3 linked regions of the Oryctolagus cuniculus genome follow. The protein of the gene in region 2 purifies or fractionates together with the protein of the main gene of each other region. This does not show direct contact. Links are inferred from orthologs where the notes say so. Each region holds a gene or a part of one and is shown on either strand. Other genes may lie near its edges.

The links.
Region 1: the proteins of WWP2 (region 2) and PTPN14 purify together in Homo sapiens (affinity purification with mass spectrometry; 3 studies listed by BioGRID). This does not show direct contact. The link is inferred for Oryctolagus cuniculus from reciprocal best matches to the Homo sapiens genes WWP2 and PTPN14.
Region 3: the proteins of WWP2 (region 2) and RPAP2 purify together in Homo sapiens (affinity purification with mass spectrometry; 3 studies listed by BioGRID and IntAct, with this or other methods). This does not show direct contact. The link is inferred for Oryctolagus cuniculus from reciprocal best matches to the Homo sapiens genes WWP2 and RPAP2.

Annotation. Positions count from the first base shown.
Region 1 is NC_091444.1:28,672,179-28,675,825, reverse strand, and holds part of PTPN14 (tyrosine-protein phosphatase non-receptor type 14), read left to right. Parts: intron 1-3,147; coding exon 3,148-3,647. UniProt on the Homo sapiens protein: Protein tyrosine phosphatase which may play a role in the regulation of lymphangiogenesis, cell-cell adhesion, cell-matrix adhesion, cell migration, cell growth and also regulates TGF-beta gene expression, thereby modulating epithelial-mesenchymal transition.
Region 2 is NC_091449.1:52,876,809-52,881,010, reverse strand, and holds the start of WWP2 (NEDD4-like E3 ubiquitin-protein ligase WWP2), read right to left. Parts: upstream 2,880-4,202; 5' UTR 2,744-2,879; intron 1-2,743. UniProt on the Homo sapiens protein: E3 ubiquitin-protein ligase which accepts ubiquitin from an E2 ubiquitin-conjugating enzyme in the form of a thioester and then directly transfers the ubiquitin to targeted substrates.
Region 3 is NC_091438.1:78,238,416-78,242,062, reverse strand, and holds part of RPAP2 (putative RNA polymerase II subunit B1 CTD phosphatase RPAP2), read left to right. Parts: intron 1-2,368; coding exon 2,369-2,518; intron 2,519-3,647.

The sequences.
Region 1 (3,647 bases), on a different chromosome or scaffold from region 2:
GGCCAACGGCTTTGGTTTGTGAAGGGCCTACGTGTCGGTTACCCCTGGAGACAACCCTGCCCGGAATTCACTGCAGGGGGAGTCAGGGCTGAGGTGATGAAGGACTTCTTTCCTCCTCCCTCTCTTCTGTGGGCTTAGAGAGGAGGGTGGCAGTGTGGCTGACTGGGAGACATCACCTGCAGGGCCAGTATCAGAAGCTTGTAGATGTCAGTCAGCTTTCCGTGGAGACAGGGGATACAGGCATCTGGCATGACCAGAAGTCGTTCATGGTCTCTGGAGTGGTGTTAAGATACCATTTGGGATGCCCATATCCCATATTGGAGGGTCTGCTGTGGGTCTCAGTTCCGCTTGCAATTCTAGCTTCCTGCTAATGTGCACCCCGGGAGGCAGCAAACCATGGCTCAAGGACTAGCATTCCTGCCACCCATGTGGGAAACCCAGGCTGAGTTCCTGGCCCCTGGCTTTGGCCTGGCTCAGTTCTGGCTGTTGTAGGCATTTAGGGGAGCAAACTAGCAGATGAGAGCTCTCTGTCTCTTAAAATTAAAAAAAAAAAATCCATCTCGGCCCTTTCTTTTGCTTTTTTTTTTTTTCCTCTTCTCTTCCTCTAGCCCCTTTCTTAAGGTACTTAACTGGTTGCTTCTCAGAGTAAAGAAACTTTGTTTTAGTCCTCTTCTCTCTTAAGCAAAATGTGTGAAAAAGCCCATTCCAATAGTAATCACCATTATAATGATTGCTTATAGAACAATCATGATGTGTGAGGCACTGTTCTAAGTCCTTGCTATCTGTTGACTCATTTATTCCTCAAAATCAACCTGTGATTATTTCCAGCTTACAGATACAGAATTGGGGTACAGAGAGGTTGCTGGTAGAACTTGGATGTGAAAATGGGCATCTCAAAGGATGAGATGGTAGGAAACCACTAATGTATTATAACCTGGAGCCCTGGTATCTCCATTGTCTCCTGGCTGGATGGAATCCTGTGACACAAAGTGTGAGCTTGAAAAAAACAAGACAATCAAGACTTTTTCATTGAATAAAACTACTTTTTTTTAAAAAAAAGCAGATAGCAAAGTTACCCTGCCTCTAGGGGAGGGTAAATCCCATTGGAAGTGCATAAATTGCAACCTGCTTGTATCCTGGTTTGTTTCTTTTTGCTTTTTGCTTTTTTTCCCCCCTTTCTCATCTGATCAGATCTGTTCATACCCCTCCTCTTCAGACAGTTGAATTTTTTTATTAGTTTATTTATTTAAAAGAGAGTTACAGAGAGAGGTAGAGACAAAGAGAGAGGTCTTCCATCTGCTGGTTCACTCCCCAGATGGCCGCAATGTCTGGAGCTGGTGCCAATCTGAAGCCAGGAGCCAGGAGCTTCTTCCAGCTCTCCCACATGGGTGCAGGGGCCCAAGAACTTGGGCCATCCTCTAATGCTTTCCCAGGCCACAGCAGAGAGCTGGATTAGAAGAGGAGCAGCCAGGACTAGAACCAGCGCCCATATGGGATACTGGCGCTTCAGGCCAGGGCTTTACCCCGCTGCGCCACAGTGCTGGCCCCCGACAGTTGAATACTTTTAATCATGATTTCTACTTTTTACCTTTTCTGTTTTCATCTTCCTCTGCTTGGCTAATTCTTAAATCTATAGTGAGAAAATGAATGTATTTTGGGTACAGAAGTGTGTTTTGTCAAGAGGTTGCCTTTCTCAAGTGTGTGTGTGTGTGTGTGTGTGTGTGTGTAAAGGACTCTGCACAATTAGAATGACCTCACTTTAGAAATACGTTTTTAATCTCTTTAGTTTCTTCTTTATAATTAGTATTTATTTGGATGGACCTCAGTGATGAAACTAGGTCTAGAGGAGGATTTTGGGAGTGGCTAAAAGAATTCCTGATTTTTTTTTAAAGATTTATTTATGTAAAAGGCAGAGTGACACAAAGAAAGAAAGAGATGGAGACAGGGGTGGTGGGAGGGGGAGACCTTCCTTCAGCTTTCACTCCTCAAATGGCCACAATAGCCAGGGCTGGGCCTGGCTGAATCCAGGAGCCAGGAACTCCATCCAGGTCTGCCACAGAGCTGGCAGGAATTCAAATACCTGAGCTGTATCTGGCGCCTCCTGGGTACATTAGCAGGGAGCTGAATTGGAGGTGCAGCAGGCAGGGCAGAATAGGCAGTGGGCATCGCAAGCAGCAGCTTCCCCCACTGTGCTGTAGCACCCGGCCGGAACTGCAGATCTGACTGTTGCTTGCCCTGGGTGCCGCTCAGAATGAGCTAGCCATGCAGTTGTTCTTGCTTCATTGTGTGTCTTCTGCCTTCTTGAGGTCGCAGCCTCTCAGGTAAAGAGACCTTGAGCATTGCCGCCAGAAAAGCAGCTCCACATACTCTGAAACCTCAAATCTATCACTTTTTTTTGTAAGATTTATTTTGTTTGAAAGGCAGAGTTACAGAGAGAGAGAGAGAGAGAGAGAGAGAGAGAGAGAACAAGATCTTCTATCTGCTGGTTCACTCCCCAAATGGCTGCAATGGCTGGAAGTGGGCTGATCCAAAGTCGGGAGCCGGAAGCCAGGAACTTCTTGTGGGTCTCCCACATGGATACAGGGGCCCAAGTACTTGGGCCATCTTCAGTTGCTTTCCCAGGCCATCAGCAGGGAGCTGGATTGGAGCAGCCAGGATTTGAACTGGCACTGTATGGGATGCTGGTGCCACAGGCAGTGGCTTTACCTACTACATCGCAACACTGGACTATGGCACAACGCTGGCCCCTAATCTATCTGTCTTTTAAAGTTCTTGCCTTCCTGGCCAAACCTCTAGGGCTGTTGATGAGCCCTGTGCAGGAGGACAGGTCCATCCGATGTGAGGCCTGTTGTGAATGCCTGATTTGAAAGCTCATGGCTAAATTGAAAACTTACCCAGACGATACCTGTTCCAAATCTGCATAGCTTTGTTTACGTTCAGGATTTCTCTTCATCATGCTCTAGAATGTTCTTCCCATATGCTGGCATCTCGTCTGAGATACTTTTGGTTTTTCTATGGAGTATGTGTGTGGACACCCTGGGATTTTATACTTTATGACTCATTTAAGTCTCCCCATGAATGTAAGGATGGACTTTATTAAAACAGGATGACCCAAAGGTTAACGTGCTTTTGTTTGACCTCTTGCAGACAGCATCTTTCATGGGAATGAAGAAGCCTTGTATTGCAACTCTCACAACAGCCTGGACTTAAATTATTTAAATGGCACCGTCACCAATGGCAGCGTGTGTAGCGTTCACAGCATCAACTCCCTCAACTGCTCCCAGAGTTTCATCCAGGCTTCACCTGTCTCCTCCAACCTCAGCATCCCTGGGAGTGACATCATGCGAGCTGACTACATCCCCAGCCACCGGCACAGCGCCATCATTGTGCCGTCTTACAGGCCCACCCCCGATTATGAGACGGTCATGCGGCAGATGAAGAGGGGCATTGTGCACGCGGACAGCCAGAGCCAATCTCTGCGCAACCTCAACATCATCAACACCCACGCCTACAACCAGCAGGAGGACCTGGTGTACAGCCAGCCCGAGATGCGGGAGAGACACCCCTACACCATCCCATATGCGTTGCAGGGGGGTTATGGAAACAAACTCCTGGGTCCTAGTGACCCAGTGACCCCAAAAAGCAAG
Region 2 (4,202 bases):
CTTCCAGTCTGGTGTGGACTGAATGCTTACAGCGTATCTCCAGGGCTCACCAGCACCATGAGGCTACTTGCAACTCTAGAAACTGCCTGGCATGGAACAGGTCCCTGCAATACTGGTGGGAGGAGCACTGTCCTGGGAAGAGGCAGCCATGGCAATGCTGTGGCTGAATGTGTTCCCCAAAGGTCCTGTGTCAGAAGCTTAACCCCCAGTGCAGGTGATGAGAGGGGGATCCTTTAAAAGGCGGTTAGGTTATGGGGGCCGTGCCTTCACGGGTAGATTAATGTCATTACTGCAAGAACAGGTTTGTTGGAAAAGCAGTTTAGTGTTTATGTTCTCTCGTTCTCTCTCTCTCTCTCTCTCTCCATGTGATGCCCTCCACCGTGTTACAACACAGCAAGAAGGCCCTCATCAGACACAGTCCCTCAACTCTTGGGCTTCCCTGCCTACAGACCATGATTCAAATAAACTTCTCTCACTTACAAACGACCCAGTCCATGGTATAGTTAAGCAGCACCACACAGACTAAGACACTGCAGTAGCGGGTTTTCTAGTCCTCAGTTACACTGCACATGGACAATTTTTTCTCTAATTCGTAGTATGTTTTCTTTAAAGCATCATACTTTTTGTACTTTAAAAACTTTTTTCAGGCCGGCGCCGCGGCTCACTAGGCTAATCCTCCGCCTAGCGGTGCCGGCACACCGGGTTCTAGTCCCAGTTGGGGCGCCGGATTCTGTCCTGATCGCCCCTCTTCCAGGCCAGCTCTCTGCTGTGGCCAGGGAGTGCAGTGGAGGATGGCCCAGGTGCTTGGGCCCTGCACCCCATGGGAGACCAGGAAAAGTACCTGGCTCCTGGCTCCTGCCATCGGATCAGCGCGGTGCGCCGGCCGCAGCGCGCTGGCCACGGCGGCCATTGGAGGGTGAACCAACGGCAAAGGAAGATCTTTCTCTCTGTCTCTCTCTCTCACTGTCCACTCTGCCTGTCAAAAAAAAAAAAAAAAAAAAAAAAAAACTTTTTTCAATAAAACTTTCTATCACTTCTATAAATGGAAAAGGATGGTCTGGAAACAGAAGGTGTGGGCCTGAGTGGCTGCTGGGTCATGTACTAGCTCTGGAATCGAAGGCAAGGGCTTCAGCAAGCCTCAGTCTCTGCATCTGCGGGACAGGGACAACCCCAGCCTTCAGAAGATCTCCGAGAGGATTAAATGAGACGTGGGCGTACGCTCCTGGTAAAGGAGAAAGTACTCATTAAGTGATGAGAAGCCGATCCAAGCCCTTCTTTTATGCCTATCATGTTCACATAGACCAGCAGCACAGAAAACAGCAGCTTGCCTACTAGAGACCCAAGACTTGGGTTCAAATCCCTTGCCCAACACTTAACAGCTGTATGACTTTAGAAATTCATTTATTGCCAAACACTGACCAAGTGCCCACAACATGCCAGGCACTTGGCTAGTGGTCAAAGAAGCCAAATAAAACACGGTATCTGCCCTTGAAGATTCTTACGTCCAGCAGGAAGAGACCAGTAAACAAGAAAGAACACATTGGTTTTAAAAGTCAAGACTCCTTTAAGTCTGTCTGTTTCTCATGACGTGGAAAAAAGACCTTTCCCCATCTAAATCACAGGGCTGCTGCAAAAATTAACTTCTAAATGCTCATCAAACACTTCAAAAACCTGAACACCTCATACATTTAGTAAAGTCCTTTTGTTCTCTAACTTGTAACCCTGAACGACTCTGGCTCTTGTGTGTGCACGCATGAGACTCACTTCTGCAAAACATTCAGTGAACATTTACAGAAAGAGGAAGATGAACAGCTGTGACATGGGTATTTAATCTCAACATCAGGCGCCAGGTCATAGTTCTAAGGCACAGGACACAGACTTCTACCTAGCTACAGCTGGTCAAGATAAGCAGTCACGTGGTAAGGGAAGCTGAATAATTTAAACCACAGCCAGACCCGAAGTCGTTAGCACACAGGTACACGGTCCTCTAGCCGGTGTTCCGGCCGAGGCGGTGCTGGGCTAGGTCATGGTCAAGAGCGTAGGCTGAAACCTTCCTGCAGCCACAGCAGAGCGCCCACGCTTTCTGTCTTCAGCCTCGAAGACGACTTGATCAAGGGGGAAAAGCCCCAAAGAAAGGCGATCCTGAAGGGTTAGGTTCCCAAGAAGTGGAAACCCGACGCCCGCGGGACTAAGTGGGTGTGACGAGAGCAAGACGACCAAGATTCTGTGATCCCTCCTGAAGTTTAAAGATGGACTGAGCCCGAAATCAAGTCTCGGGGAAACATCGCTGCCAAAGACGCAGCGGGGAAGACGCCCTCAGTGGGGCTCAGGCGGCATCTCCCGGGCTGCTCCCCTGCCCTGCCCGCCCTATGTCCATCTCGGCACCCCCTTCCCAGCTCCGTCCCAACTCGCCCTTCCCCTGCTCCCTCCACAGAGATCGCGATGCCTGTCCCTCCAGCCCCCCGGCACCAACGCGCCGCGCCGCTCCCGGAAGCACCGGCTCCCGGCCGGCCACCTCGGAGCGGCCCCACGCGGGCCGCGTCGCGCCCACCCCGCTCGGGCGGGAGCCGGGACACCCCTCCTCGGAGGCCGGAACCGCCGCGCCAGGCCCCTCCCACAGGAAGCCGCCGCCCCCCGGCGCCCGGGCCGCGCCGCCCCCAGCCCACCGCGCGCCGCCCGCCGCCCCCGGCCCGCTCCGCGCCCCGCGCCCGCCCGCCGCGCCCGCCGCGCCCGCGCTCGCTACCTGCCCCGGCCCCAGAAGCGGCGCCCAACTCCTCTCCCACTTCCGCCTTCCACCGCCCGCACTCGGGCCGGGTCACGTGGCCGCGCGCGGTCACCTGACCCGGAAGAGGCTGGCCGGGCTCTCAGGTGCCGGCAACCTAGGCCTGGCCTGCGAGCTTTTGGCCTCGAAGAGGCCCGGGTCCTGTGGCCGTGTGTATAAGGCGAAACTTTTGCCGCTCATGAATTTGTTTCCCAGCAGTCGTATAAACTGAGGGCTCGCCAGGTGCCACGTGCTGGCTTTATCTGCCCAGCAACGCTAGGGAGGCGCGTGCTGTGATTTAGACCCATTTTACAGGTGCGAGGAGATCCTCTTTCAATTGGGTCAAACAAATCACGAGTATTTGAGCTCCTTAGTGGGGTTAATAAAGTTATTAAAGTGAAATCTCAGATAAATTTCAGTTTCGGGTAAACAACCGTGTCTGCCCAATATCCTACATGGGATATATTTATACTAAGATTATCTGAAAATCACATTGGATTGTGCCGCTTGTATTTGTGTTTGATAATCCTGGTGACTCAATGCCTGCCACGTGCCAGGCGCGGTTCTAGACTGTAGAAGCAACAGACCTGTCCGTCGTGGAACATCTGGGACATGAAGTAGAACAGCTTCGAAGCCCCTGCCTGGGGGCATAAAATGCCCCCTATCACGCCCAGCCAACCCCTGTTCCCTTCATCTGCAGGTGCATACAACTTAGCAAGAACATTTTATGTCAACATCCCTTACTAACGGCGCAGGGCCTCAGCTTTGACAAGTTGGATGAAGACTGTTTTTCACTTTTAATTACCATTGGTTAAAATTAATACTAGCAACCTAATTACCCCGTTTTGTTTTTTTTTTTGGGTGGGGGGAGCCTTAGCATTTGGATGGATCCAATCATGCACACAAATGAAATTGGTTGAACTCAGTCCCTTGCCTTTCAATAATATACAGCCATCTCTTAATTCGTTAAACCTGTTAAACCCTGCCACGAAACTGACGCTTCTCCAATTTCATTGTCGGGCGTTTTCCTAATTCTGCTTTAGAGGAGTGAGGAAAGGCTTCCTTGTGGGGTGGGCTTTCAGTAAGTGTTCACCAAAGAGCAAGAGGACTAAGTAAAAAGCATGCAGGGTGCATTAAGCAGTGAAAGCTAGAAATATAGGTGGTCACCCGCATGGTTCCCCTCCCCACAGTCCCTTCTTATTTCTCTTCTCTCACCCCCACTCTGCCCTTTGGCCACTCTGGCCTCAGGACCTTTGGACTTGCTTCTCCCAGTGCCTGAAAAGCTCTTTCCCCATATAGTGAGACAGTAACGACCACTTCCCACCCTCTCTCTCTCAGATGTTTGCTTAGCTGTCACACAGCAAAGCCTTTCACGATCACTCTGTTTAGGATACAACTCATCTCTCTGCTGTGGCCCAGGAGTGCAGTGGAGGATGACCCA
Region 3 (3,647 bases), on a different chromosome or scaffold from region 2:
GCACTAAGTTCACCTGAGTACCTAGCTTGGGCTGACCATTGGGAGATTGGAGTAGTCCTGTTTGCCAGTATTAACTGTCTGCAGACAAAGCTGATGAAGTGTAGGAGCTTGGCACTCCCTTCCCTAGCTGTCATCCATACAGGAAGATGAGGGAAGGAATGCACTACAAGTGATCTTCCCAAATTGAACTCTGTAGATTTCACCAAACTATTATTGGCATCACCTACTCTCTAGTTCTTGCTAAGATACCTGTAAGGATAAAGAGAATTTACCAGTGTCCTAGCCATCTTTGGACAATTCTGACAAAATTTTCCTCTTACTTCTGCCTTCTATATAAGATGGCTAAGCAAGGAAGAAATAAATCTTCCCCTCAGAAACCGTTTCCCATTCCACACTCACTACTGCAGAACTGACTTGCTCTGATTCCTTGAGCTTTTTATTGATGTTATACATCAATATATTATACAATATTATACAATATATTATACAGCGGCAATGGCTTAGGTTAAATATGCATCTGAAAGAGTTGTGGGAAGTGTAAGACTATTTGGGGGGAAAGAATTTTTCCCAAGAAGTTTTCCAAGAATGTACCTTGCAAGGACTCTACAAAGCATACTCTCTATAGAGACAAAATGGTCTTTAATCTTTCTAATTAGGCTATATATTGCTGACTTACAGGAGATCATGTTGACTAATCACATTTCAAGGAAAATTACTTTTAAGATTCTATTATAGGCAGTCAGTCATTCTTTTAAAAAGATTTATTTATTTATTTATTTATTTGAAAATCAGAGTTAGAGACAGAGAGGCAGAGAGAGAGAGAGGTTTTCCATCTGCTGGTTCACTCCCCAGATGGCTGCAATGGCCGGCGCAGCACTGATCCAAAGCCAGGAACCAGGAGCTTCCTCAGGATCTCCCACGAGGGTGCAGGGGCTGAAGGACTTGGGCCATAGCAGAGAGCTGGATTGGAAGAGGAGCAGCCAGGACTTGAACCAGCACCCATGTGGGATGCTGGCACTGCAGGTGGCAGCTTTACCCACTACACCAAAGTGCCAGCCCCAGTCATTCATTCTTTATAGGTATTTACTGGAAATTATTAGAGAAAAAAAAAGCACATTGTTTCTTATGAAGTTGGTATTAAATACCTTGTGAGATGTCATTCATTTACGTAGTGTTTCAAAAATAAAAATATTAGGGGACAGGCATGTGGCTCAGCAGTTAAGGCGTACTTGGTATGCCTATATCCTATTTCAGAGTGCCTGGCTCCACTTCCATTCCAGCTTCCTGTTAATGCATAGCCAGGAGGCAACAGGTGATGGCTCAAGTACTTGGGTCCCTGCCAACTATGTAGGAGACCCATATTGAGTTCCAGGTTTCTGGCTTTGACCTAGTCTAGCCCCTGCTGGAGGGCACTTGAGGACTGAACCAGCTGATGGAAGGCTGATCAGTTTTCTCTCTCTCTTCCCCTCCGTGGGTATGGGGTGGGGGTGGGGGGGCCCTGACCTTTGAAGAAAAATGAAAATAAATTTTAAATGTTTTAAATAAATAAAAATATAAATATTGAAAGGTGATCTTTGTTTATTGAATGCTTTTTTCCAAGTGACATAATCAATGTAAATAACATAAATAATTCCATATAAATTATATTTTTAAAATAATTCTCAGCTCTAAGTGCCTCTCCACACCACTCTTCCTCAAGTGGAATGAGTTCATTAATTTTCCCTTCTGAGCAGAGTTTTAATAGCTTTTGCTGCCATGATGAAGAACATGTCATAGATACAGGCTTTTGGACTTTTTTCCATACTTAATAATGTTTAATCTTTTTTTAATTTATTTATTTATTTATTTATTTTGACAGGCAGAGTGGACAGTGAGAGAGAGAGACAGAGAGAAAGGTCTTCCTTTTGCCGTTGGTTCACCCTCCAATGGCCGCCGCGGCCGGCGTGCTGCGGCCGGCGCACCGCACTGATCCGATGGCAGGAGCCAGGAGCCAGGTGCTTTTCCTGGTCTCCGATGGGGTGCAGGGCCCAAGCACCTGGGCCATCCTCCACTGCACTCCCTGGCCACAGCAGAGAGCTGGCCTGGAAGAGGGGCAACCAGGACAGAATCCGGCACCCCGACCGGGACTAGAACCCGGTGTGCCGGCGCCGCTAGGCGGAGGATTAGCCTAGTAAGCCGTGGCGCCGGCCCCAATGTTTAATCTTTTGATATTTTCCTGAGACTTCTCTGCTGCCTATTTTTCCTCTGGGGATTTTGTTGACTCACAAAGACCCCATTATCCTCACAAAATCTCTGTGCCCTGGTGAATGTGAGAGTCCTTAGCCCATCGCATTTCACAGATATGTGCCTTGTGTTTTGATTGTTTCAGACTGGCCCCGATTCTTGGCATTCAGAAGCATTCACGGGAAAATGCGGTGTTCACACAGTTTATAGCCACCCTGCTGGATGAATTACATTTAAAGAATGAAGACCTCGAAAGTTTAACCACCATATTTAAAACAAGCTGTCAACCAGAGTGGTGAGTTGGATTGTGTTTTACTTTAGTTTTGCCTATGTAGATGCATTTTTCATACTAGAAATTTTAAAAACCAGGGGCTCATTAGGAAGAACATGGTCTCCCTCTGTTCTTAGCTGCCTCAGCCACTCGCTGTCTACGCTCGTATTCTGCGTCCCATCCTGGTAGCTATTCCTCCTTTTCAGGCTCTTGCAGTTCTGGTTCTTGCAATCCAGGAAACTCCCCACTCTCAGTTTCATCCTCTAGCTCAAGCCATCTCACATGTTCTTCTTGATAAGTGGCAGTTTACTTGGACCCCACCACTGCACTGATGCACTGTGAACACCCTCATCCTCTGCCTCTTCCATGAAATCCCCTCCTATCCAGCCTATACTTAGTCCGCTCCTATGTAGATAAGCAGGTGAACTCACAGTTCTGGCGTTGTTAAATCTTGCCTCTTTCAGAACTGCCCACCACAATGGACCTTCTTTATCCTGCCTTCATTGTAACCCTCCATCTCTTCCTTCTCATTTCACACACTCCCGACTGCTTAGATAGGAACCACTTTGATGATCTAACTGAAGGAATTCGTCTTAAAATACAAATGAGACCTTCTCAGGGAACTTTCCTTTAAAAAAAAAAAAAAAAGCTTTAAACTTTTTTTAAAAAGATTTATTTATTTGAGGCCGGCGCCGCGGCTCACTAGGCTAATCCTCCGCCTAGCAGCGCCGGCACACCGGGTTCTAGTCCTGGTCGGGGCGCCGGATTCTGTCCCGGTTGCCCCTCTTCCAAGCCAGCTCTCTGCTGTGGCCAGGGAGTGCAGTGGAGGATGGCCCAGGTGCTTGGGCCCTGCACCCCATGGGAGACCAGGAAAAGCACCTGGCTCCTGGCTCCTGCCATCAGATCAGTGCGGTGCGCCGGCCGCAGCACGCCGGCCGCGGCGGCCATTGAAGGGTGAACCAACGGCAAAAGGAAGACCTTTCTCTCTGTCTCTCTCTCTCTCACTGTCCACTCTGCCTGTCAAAAAATAAAAAATAAAAAAAATTAAAAAAATAAAAAGATTTATTTATTTGAAAGTGAGAGTTAGAAAGAGAGATATCTTCCATCTGCTGGTTTACTCCCTGGACAGGGCTGGCCAGGCCAGTGCCAGAAG